2 linked regions of the Nothobranchius furzeri genome follow. The protein of the gene in region 1 purifies or fractionates together with the protein of each later gene. This does not show direct contact. Links are inferred from orthologs where the notes say so. Each region holds a gene or a part of one and is shown on either strand. Other genes may lie near its edges.

The links.
Region 2: the proteins of galnt16 (region 1) and zinc transporter ZIP11 purify together in Homo sapiens (co-immunoprecipitation; 3 studies listed by BioGRID and IntAct, counting the BioPlex papers as one, with this or other methods). This does not show direct contact. The link is inferred for Nothobranchius furzeri from reciprocal best matches to the Homo sapiens genes GALNT16 and SLC39A11.

Annotation. Positions count from the first base shown.
Region 1 is NC_091758.1:16,994,536-16,998,454, reverse strand, and holds the start of galnt16 (polypeptide N-acetylgalactosaminyltransferase 16), read left to right. Parts: upstream 1-1,650; 5' UTR 1,651-1,863; coding exon 1,864-2,061; intron 2,062-2,067; exon of another isoform or gene 2,068-3,919. UniProt on the Homo sapiens protein: Catalyzes the initial reaction in O-linked oligosaccharide biosynthesis, the transfer of an N-acetyl-D-galactosamine residue to a serine or threonine residue on the protein receptor.
Region 2 is NC_091756.1:23,976,404-23,980,322, forward strand, and holds the start of zinc transporter ZIP11, read right to left. Parts: upstream 2,516-3,919; 5' UTR 2,456-2,515; exon of another isoform or gene 2,373-2,455; intron 1-2,372. UniProt on the Homo sapiens protein: Zinc importer that regulates cytosolic zinc concentrations either via zinc influx from the extracellular compartment or efflux from intracellular organelles such as Golgi apparatus. May transport copper ions as well.

The sequences.
Region 1 (3,919 bases):
ACGGTGCTAGTACTGAGAAAGCCCGGTCCCCACGGGTACGACACCTAGACCGAGGGACAGCGAGCAGGCCTTGGTCAGAGGAGCGCAGAGCGCGTGATGGGGAATGTCTGTTCAGGAGTGTGGCCAGATAGGGGGGAGCACCACCCTGGAAGAAATGATAAACAAAGACGAGTATTTTGAACTGTGAGCGATAGGAAATCGGAAGCCAGTGCAGGGAGGCCAGAACTGGACTGATGTGGTCCCGTTTCCTGGTCCCAGTCAGGAACCTGGCAGCGCTGTTCTGCACAACCTGTAGGCGACGCAGTGTTGACTGACACAACCCTGCGAAGAGAGAGCTGCAGTAGTCAAGACGAGAAATTACAAAGGCATGCAGTACCCGCTCCAGGTGGGCTCTCGACAGCATATGCTTGATTTTAGCAAGGCGTCTCAGGTGAAAGAAACTGGACCGGATCACAGAATTGATGTGAGCATCAAATTTAAGTCCTACATCAAGTTTCACCCCCAAACTGGTAACAGCTGAATGGATAAAACAACAAGTTATACACATGTAATATTTATACATCTGATACAATTCAGATCACCTTCAAAACTCAGTCACACACCCAGGGCCGTTTCAAGGCATTTTGGGGGCCAAGGCAAAATGACCCCCCCCCCCCCCCCATAACTGGGCTCCCCAGAAGCCTCTGTGTAATCCATACCCTCTCCAGGAGTATTAGTTATACAGTGTTTACAAAAAACCCTCAGACATTACTGACATGTTCTAATATTATCAGATGAAAAACTAAATTATCAGACATGCTGTCTCATCTGCTTCTTTTCTAACTTACAAAAAGTAACAAAACCATTTGAAAGCCACTATTTGTGGATTCTCTGAAAGTTTCCATGGAGTGTGTGACAACTTATTTTTTCATTGATCCTATCGTCTAATCTCACAGCTGAAACAAGCATCCTTAATAATCTGTGCACAGGAAGCTTACCGATGCTGTAGTAAAACAAAAGGTATAATAATTTATTATTAATAAAACCTTGTTGCAGCACTAAAGCAGAAAAATGAGATTTTGTAATAAATATGCAAAATATTTACATATGAATTGTTTTAGAGCCCTTTTATTGGCAGAATCTGATATTAATTTAGTTCTTACAAAACATGGGTCCCAACATGGTTTGTGTGGCGTTGCCATAGTGTGACGTCATAGGCACAGATCCCCTGTCCTCTTGTGTGGAAATGGAAATATGATCACCCTATGTTAAACAAACTGTCCACCCGGGCTTTTGCGCTGCACAGAGACGCTTCGCTGCCTATGACTGAACGTCAGTTGAGAGTCAGTCTCATGCAGACTGATCAATGAAGAGAGGGCCTCAAGTTAAGACCCTCTCCTCATTGGTCAGTCCACACGAGGTGGGTCAAAGGTTACCCTGAGCAGGTTACATGATGTCAGGCATTCAAGTATTGAGTATACTTACTGCATATTACAGAAAAATATTTTGTATGTGACCACATTATGGTGATCCTTGGGTCGTGATGATGGAGCCCTTGAATATTGTTGCCCAGGGTACAACGAAGTGTTAATCTGGCCCTGGTCCTAGTGCGCGTGCGTGTGTTCTCTCGCAGCTGGAGGTGGGTTCTGCAGCAGCTGTGGGTTTACAACGTGCGCGCGCGTCGGGTGGGGTGGGGGGTGAAGAATCGGCGCTAGGACCGCGGTTCCGTCAGTGCGCTGATCCCAGCAGAGAGGCAGATCTCCGGCTGAAGAAGAGCTGCTCTCTGGCTGTCTGTCTGCTCTGCGGTCCGACTCATCACCTCTCGCCGCGTACCGGACCAGAACCAGCCGGGCTCGCCTCCGGTGGCCTCCTTATGGGCTCACCATGCGCAGGATTCGGGCCAACGCCATCGCCATTCTGACAGTCGCGTGGATCTTGGGAACGTTTTATTACCTGTGGCAGGACCAGAAGCCCCAGTCTGTTCCGTCGGTGGCGGCGCAGACCCGCGTCCGGAACCACGGACAGAAGGGGGTCCCCGGTCGGCTGGAGATCCACCGAGACGAGCGGACCATCCCGCTGATTGTGAGTGAGCGGTTCGGTGGTTCTGTGGCTGGAGGCTGGAGCGTGCGTGCGTGTGTGTGCGTGCGGTGCACGCCTGTGTGCATGAAACTTGGACTGATGGTGCAGCTCAGCTGGATGTCACAGCCAGATCACATCCTCCCGAACCCGAACCGGAGAAGTTACCCTCCAGGAGCGCAAGTGGATAAAACAAAGGGTTCGGGTCGGGATCCTTAGGCCCATCTCAGTCTGCCGAACAGAAACATTCAGACAGAACCCCAGCTGAGATTAGAAGATCCGGTCGAACAGAAGGAGATAAAAGCTTCCTAACAGTTATTTGGGCTCATTTAGGGGGTTATAAGTCATAAATCTGTGTCCACTTCTAGCTCCTCCTAACATGGATCTGTTTATTATCAGCAGCTTTTCCTATATGCTAAATCATGAATACAAATATAATCAGATAAATGTATATTTAGCTAACCAGTGGATTCCCATAGCTGTGAGGTTGACCTCTGACCCTTGAGCTGACCTGTGCTTTGGTTCCCTGCTGTATTATTTAGATGTTTGCTATGATTGGCTGTTATTTAATCCCATTCCTGCTGTCTTTAACAACAGATCTAAAGTCGTAAATGTGGGTTTGGATCCCTTATTCATGTTCCTGTCTGGGTTCTGACATTTAGATCCTCCTAACAGTGGGACTTTAATTATTAGGAGGAACTTTTTTTGTATTTAGATTCGGTTATGTTGATGTAAAGAGTTGTTATGTTTTGTAATCTGCCCTCCATAGTTAGATTTTCACACAGTAGAAGATGAATAATCTCAGTCTGAGCTGTGGTCGGGCCCCTGCAGGGTTCCAGGGTTCCTGACCGTCCCCTCCTGTATGACATGACTGAGTGACTGTGATTGGATAAATCAGATCTGGACCTAGTTTGACTTTCGGAGACGTCCACAGGCTGAACACTGTTAAACAGGCACTCCTGCGGCGTGTTTTGTAATAGTGGGTTTGTCCGCGGGATCATTGACCCCTCACCCAGCTGAGATGTCCTCGTTGTTTGTTTTGGTGGACTGACCCGATGCCTGCTGGATATATGGACACCACATCCTTGTGCTGACCCGTTCCTCCTCCTTCTTCCCTCCATCCATGACTTTCTTTTCCTCCCCTGAGGTTTCATCAGCTCAGTGTGTTTCTGTCAGTCCTTCTGTTTGTTTTCCTTACCTCCGTCTCTTCCTGGATCTGAGCCCTCGTCTGTGGATCTCCTCCATCTCTCTGCCCTACACTCATTAGCTACAGTGAGGACATCATCTGTTACTGCTGGTTCCACATCGCTCCTCCATTTTTCTTCTAATTCCTCAGCACTGTGTCTAACTTCACAGGAACACATGAGAACTTTTTCAAATTCCTTTTCCCGAACTCTGATCTAACCACGTTGCAAACAAATGACTTCAGCCCACCTCCGTGCTTCTTATCAACAAACCCGTCACCGTGTAACATTTATTCTCTGATCAGTCGCTGCGTGGACCCCGATCAGGCTGCTGGGTTTTGTGCTTTTGTTGGTTTTTAGGGTTGGATAAGACCACGTTAGGACTTGACAAGAGGACCTGGATCACATCTGCTGATGATGATCATGTTTGGGAACTTTTACTCAGAAAAAACGTGTGACAAAACCCATTAGAGGGAAGAAGTTTAACATAAACTTGGTTTAATCTGAAAACAACAAAAATAATTTGAATTTTAGAAGTTAAATAATTGAAATAACATTTCTATTTAAAGTAAAGCATTAAATTAGAAACATGATACTTGAGTATACGTAGTTTCTGAGCCAGGTGTAAGTCAGCAATTCTACATTTTCTCTATGAGGAAAGGTTGTTTCATAATCTTACC
Region 2 (3,919 bases), on another chromosome or scaffold:
TAAGAGCACCTGCTGACGCTGCCGATTGTTACCTGGGTCGACCCTTCAGACGGGCTTTGAAACGCTGCGATCGCCGTTTCGACCAGCTCCAGCGCACATCCGAGGTCTCCAGACCTGGCATTTCCTGATCTACCTGGGAGGCCCCCACTGGGTATGTACACGGCAAAATAGCAGCTCATGTCATCACTTTATAAGCCTCGTGATATCTAGTCATAGCAATCAAAGACTACCAGATTCAATGACGTCAGCCTAAGGAGTCTGAACCAACCACACACACACACACACACACACACACACACACACACACACACACACACACACACACACACACACACACACACACACACACACACACACACACACACACACACACACACACACACACACACACACACACATCGAACATCACATTCATTTCCAAACAACACAGAGTTAGTCCTGATAGATTGTAGAATTTATAATAAAATTCTTAAACGAGCCCAACTCTCTCTTTTCTTGTCTCAAGGTCAATACAGAGTGTTAAATGAACTCCCTGATGATAAAAACAACCTATTCTTCTGATTATAAAAACTAGATCTACTTACAGTATATTAAAATACAACTCTAGATCGTTACATCACTCTATTTCTCTACACAGGAGATGTTAGCAACAGAGCTAACTATCATTTTCATTTCATAGCCTGGCAAAACAGGGAGAAGGATCCAAACGGAAACTGAGGCCAGGAGACAGCTCAGTCTCCACATTGGCAGTCCTGCTCGGTGACAGCTATTTTGCGTCCGTCACGAATAGCATGGGCGTTGGGGTTTAAAACGTTCATAGCAACAGCCACGTTGGGCTAGAAACAAATCCTGTGGACTGGTGGAACAACGATGGACTCACAGTTAGAGTTGCATGGATTAACCATTGTGACAATTAACCCCAGTTAACCCATCGCAAACAACAACAGGTGAGATGTTACCGTTTCCACAGAAACCCACCTTTAACCCTCCCCCCCACTGTCTTTATGGGTGACCCCGCAAGGAAAGTTGACCATTGAGCAGGATTGAGGTCCATGTGGCAGGGATGAGGTGGTGCTCACTCCTGCCACATGGACCCAACGTGGTCCATGGTCAACTTTCCTCACGGGGTCAGACCCATTAGGACAGTGGGAGGGTTAAACATCTCAAATATCAGTTTTAATGCTCTTAAACAAACATACAAGCAAATATCTTCCCCATCTAGGCACTGGTACTTAGGACGAGTTTAACTGCAACAAAAATTCAGCATTTAATCAGCATCTGTTTGAAAAATCATCAATAGTGACAAGGAGTGAGTCGATCCGACCTGTTCTCTGATTACTTGTTTAGTCACTTGACTCCTCTAAACCAAAAGATTACAGCTTAGGGAACACACCCATAGTTTGTTTCAGTATGAGGCAAATATTCACCGAGTCCTGTTTGCTCTGGTCCAAATATCCTGGATTTCTTTATTTACATCTCTGTGACCAAACCCAACAGGCTGACTCACAGCTTTATAGGTCCACTGGTGTATGCCGGCTGCAGGAACAATTACCTTTCTATCTTATTTCAATGTCTAAAGATTTAGCAGATGATCAAATCTATTTTCAAATGATCCAAACCAGCATGACAAAGCGAAAAGATCCAAGGTCACCTTTAGATTATTAGAGTTCATTTTACCACATAAGCAGTTTAAGATATTTTAATCAAACCAGAGAAAACTGTTTAGTAAATAAATACAAGCATCTTGGCTTACAAGCTGATATATGCCAGTGATGTGCTGTGTGCTGTTGTCATGCAAAGATGAGACGAAGCAGATTAAATCATAAATGTGGAACAGAAGAGGACAAGGCAGGGAATTCACAGTCCTATTATAAAAGATTCCTGCTGCAGCAACCACAAAAATACCCAAGAAGACATTTTGCTAGGAGACTTTTTAAATATTAAATAAAGGAGAAAAAACTAAAATGCAAACAAAAGCAGCAGCTATAAAAGTTACTCTAATAACGGAATAAGCTGCTTTCATTCTTGACCTGAACATTGATAAAGCCATGCTAAGTCAGTCTGGACAACGGTGATGAAAGTGCTGCTCAGACTCATTCATGTGCGGCTGAATTAGAAATGAATGACAGCTGACACCATTAACAGCACAGGTCTGACTGGTCTCCCGGTACGCTCCGTGCGTCTCTTCACCGTGTGCTCGTGAACGCATCAGCGTGAAATCAACGAATAAACCGACAAAAGTCCGACAATTAATGACATGCAAACGAACTCCAGTTAACAAGTAGCAGAGAAAGATGAGAGGCGGCCGACTGACTTCACAGTTCTGCCATTCACGACTTAACCGCTATTATTAACATGATGAAACAACTTGCCTTCATTCGGCTGTCATAAAAGTAGCTCTTTGTGTAAGTTATTGGTAGTTTTCTGGACATAAAAGTCAGGTCTACTCACTCACCAGCGGCTTCCGTGACTCTTCTTTATTTACTTCCTGTTTTCTGAGACACGTAGCTGTGACAAGTTAAAACCCGCCCCCACTGGCTGCTCATTGGTTGTGTATTTTCACGTGGTGAAGGACTTTGACAGATAAAATAAAAATGTATTTCTTTAGAAGATAAAATACAATCTTTTGTTTTTGTTTTATTTTATGAAATCAAATATAGAATTAGCAGCTAAGACTTACTAAAGAAAAGTAACAACATATTTACTGAAAAATGCAACAATACCATTGAATAGTAGCATACTAAAAGATTATTCATAAATAAACTTTGTGTACATGTGCAAAGTATTTACATACATGAAATGACAAAATTCATAAAGCCACAAAATCTGACAAGAAAATAACCCATATATTTGAATTTTCAATGAAAAAACACATCAAAGATCTGAGATAAAATACACATAATACCCATAAAAGGGTAATAACAACAACAATAATAATAACAATAATAATAATAATAATAATAATAATAGCAATAATAATAATAAATGGCCTGTATTTTTATAGCGCCTTCTAGGGTTCTACAACCCCCAACGTGCTTCACAACACAATCTGTCATCCACACATTCACACACTGGTAATGATGAGCTACAATGTAGCCACAGCTGCCCTGGGGTGCACTGACAGAGGTGAGGTCTGCCGAATACAGGCGCCACCGGTCTGACCACCACCAACAGGCAAGGACGGTTAGATTTGCATTCTCTGCCGGAAGCCGGGATCGAACCTACAACCTTCCAATTCCCAGACAACACGCCCTAACTCCTGAGCTACTGCTGCCCCTGACACACACACACAAACACTCTAGTCTAGCATTTGTTGCAAGGACCACCATTGACTTCCATTCATTTTAGTGACTGTATTGTGACTAACCCTACCTCTAGCCATAGCCAGTCTACTCTTAACCCTAACCCTGACTTGAACTTCATTCACATCATACCTCTAAAACTAACCAGTAGAGCTATGTGGCATTGTCCCATAGTGAGAACCAGCAAGATGTCCTTAGTTTGCTGGTAAAAAGCTTGTTTTGGTCCTCACTTAGTTGTGTAGATGGTTACACACACACACACAAACACACACACACACACACACACACACACACACACACACACACACACACACACATGTGCTCGCTTTTGAAATGGAAATGGGGAGGGTCGGTTGGTTCGCTGGAGTTTTCGACCAATAAAATTGCGCCCACATTTTCAAAGTTAAACACATCTCTTTTAATAACGGTAGTTTCTGCTTCAGCCCTCTCCCCCCTCCCCCTGCGCAGCGGCCGCAAACTCACTGATGCGCCTGCAGCCTCTCAGAGTTCCTGCTGCTCTAAACATTAAAATAATTATTTCATTTTCTGTTCCTCACTTCTGATTACCTTCAATGGTGTCTGTTTGTTGCAACCACCAGGTACAAAAACTAACTTGT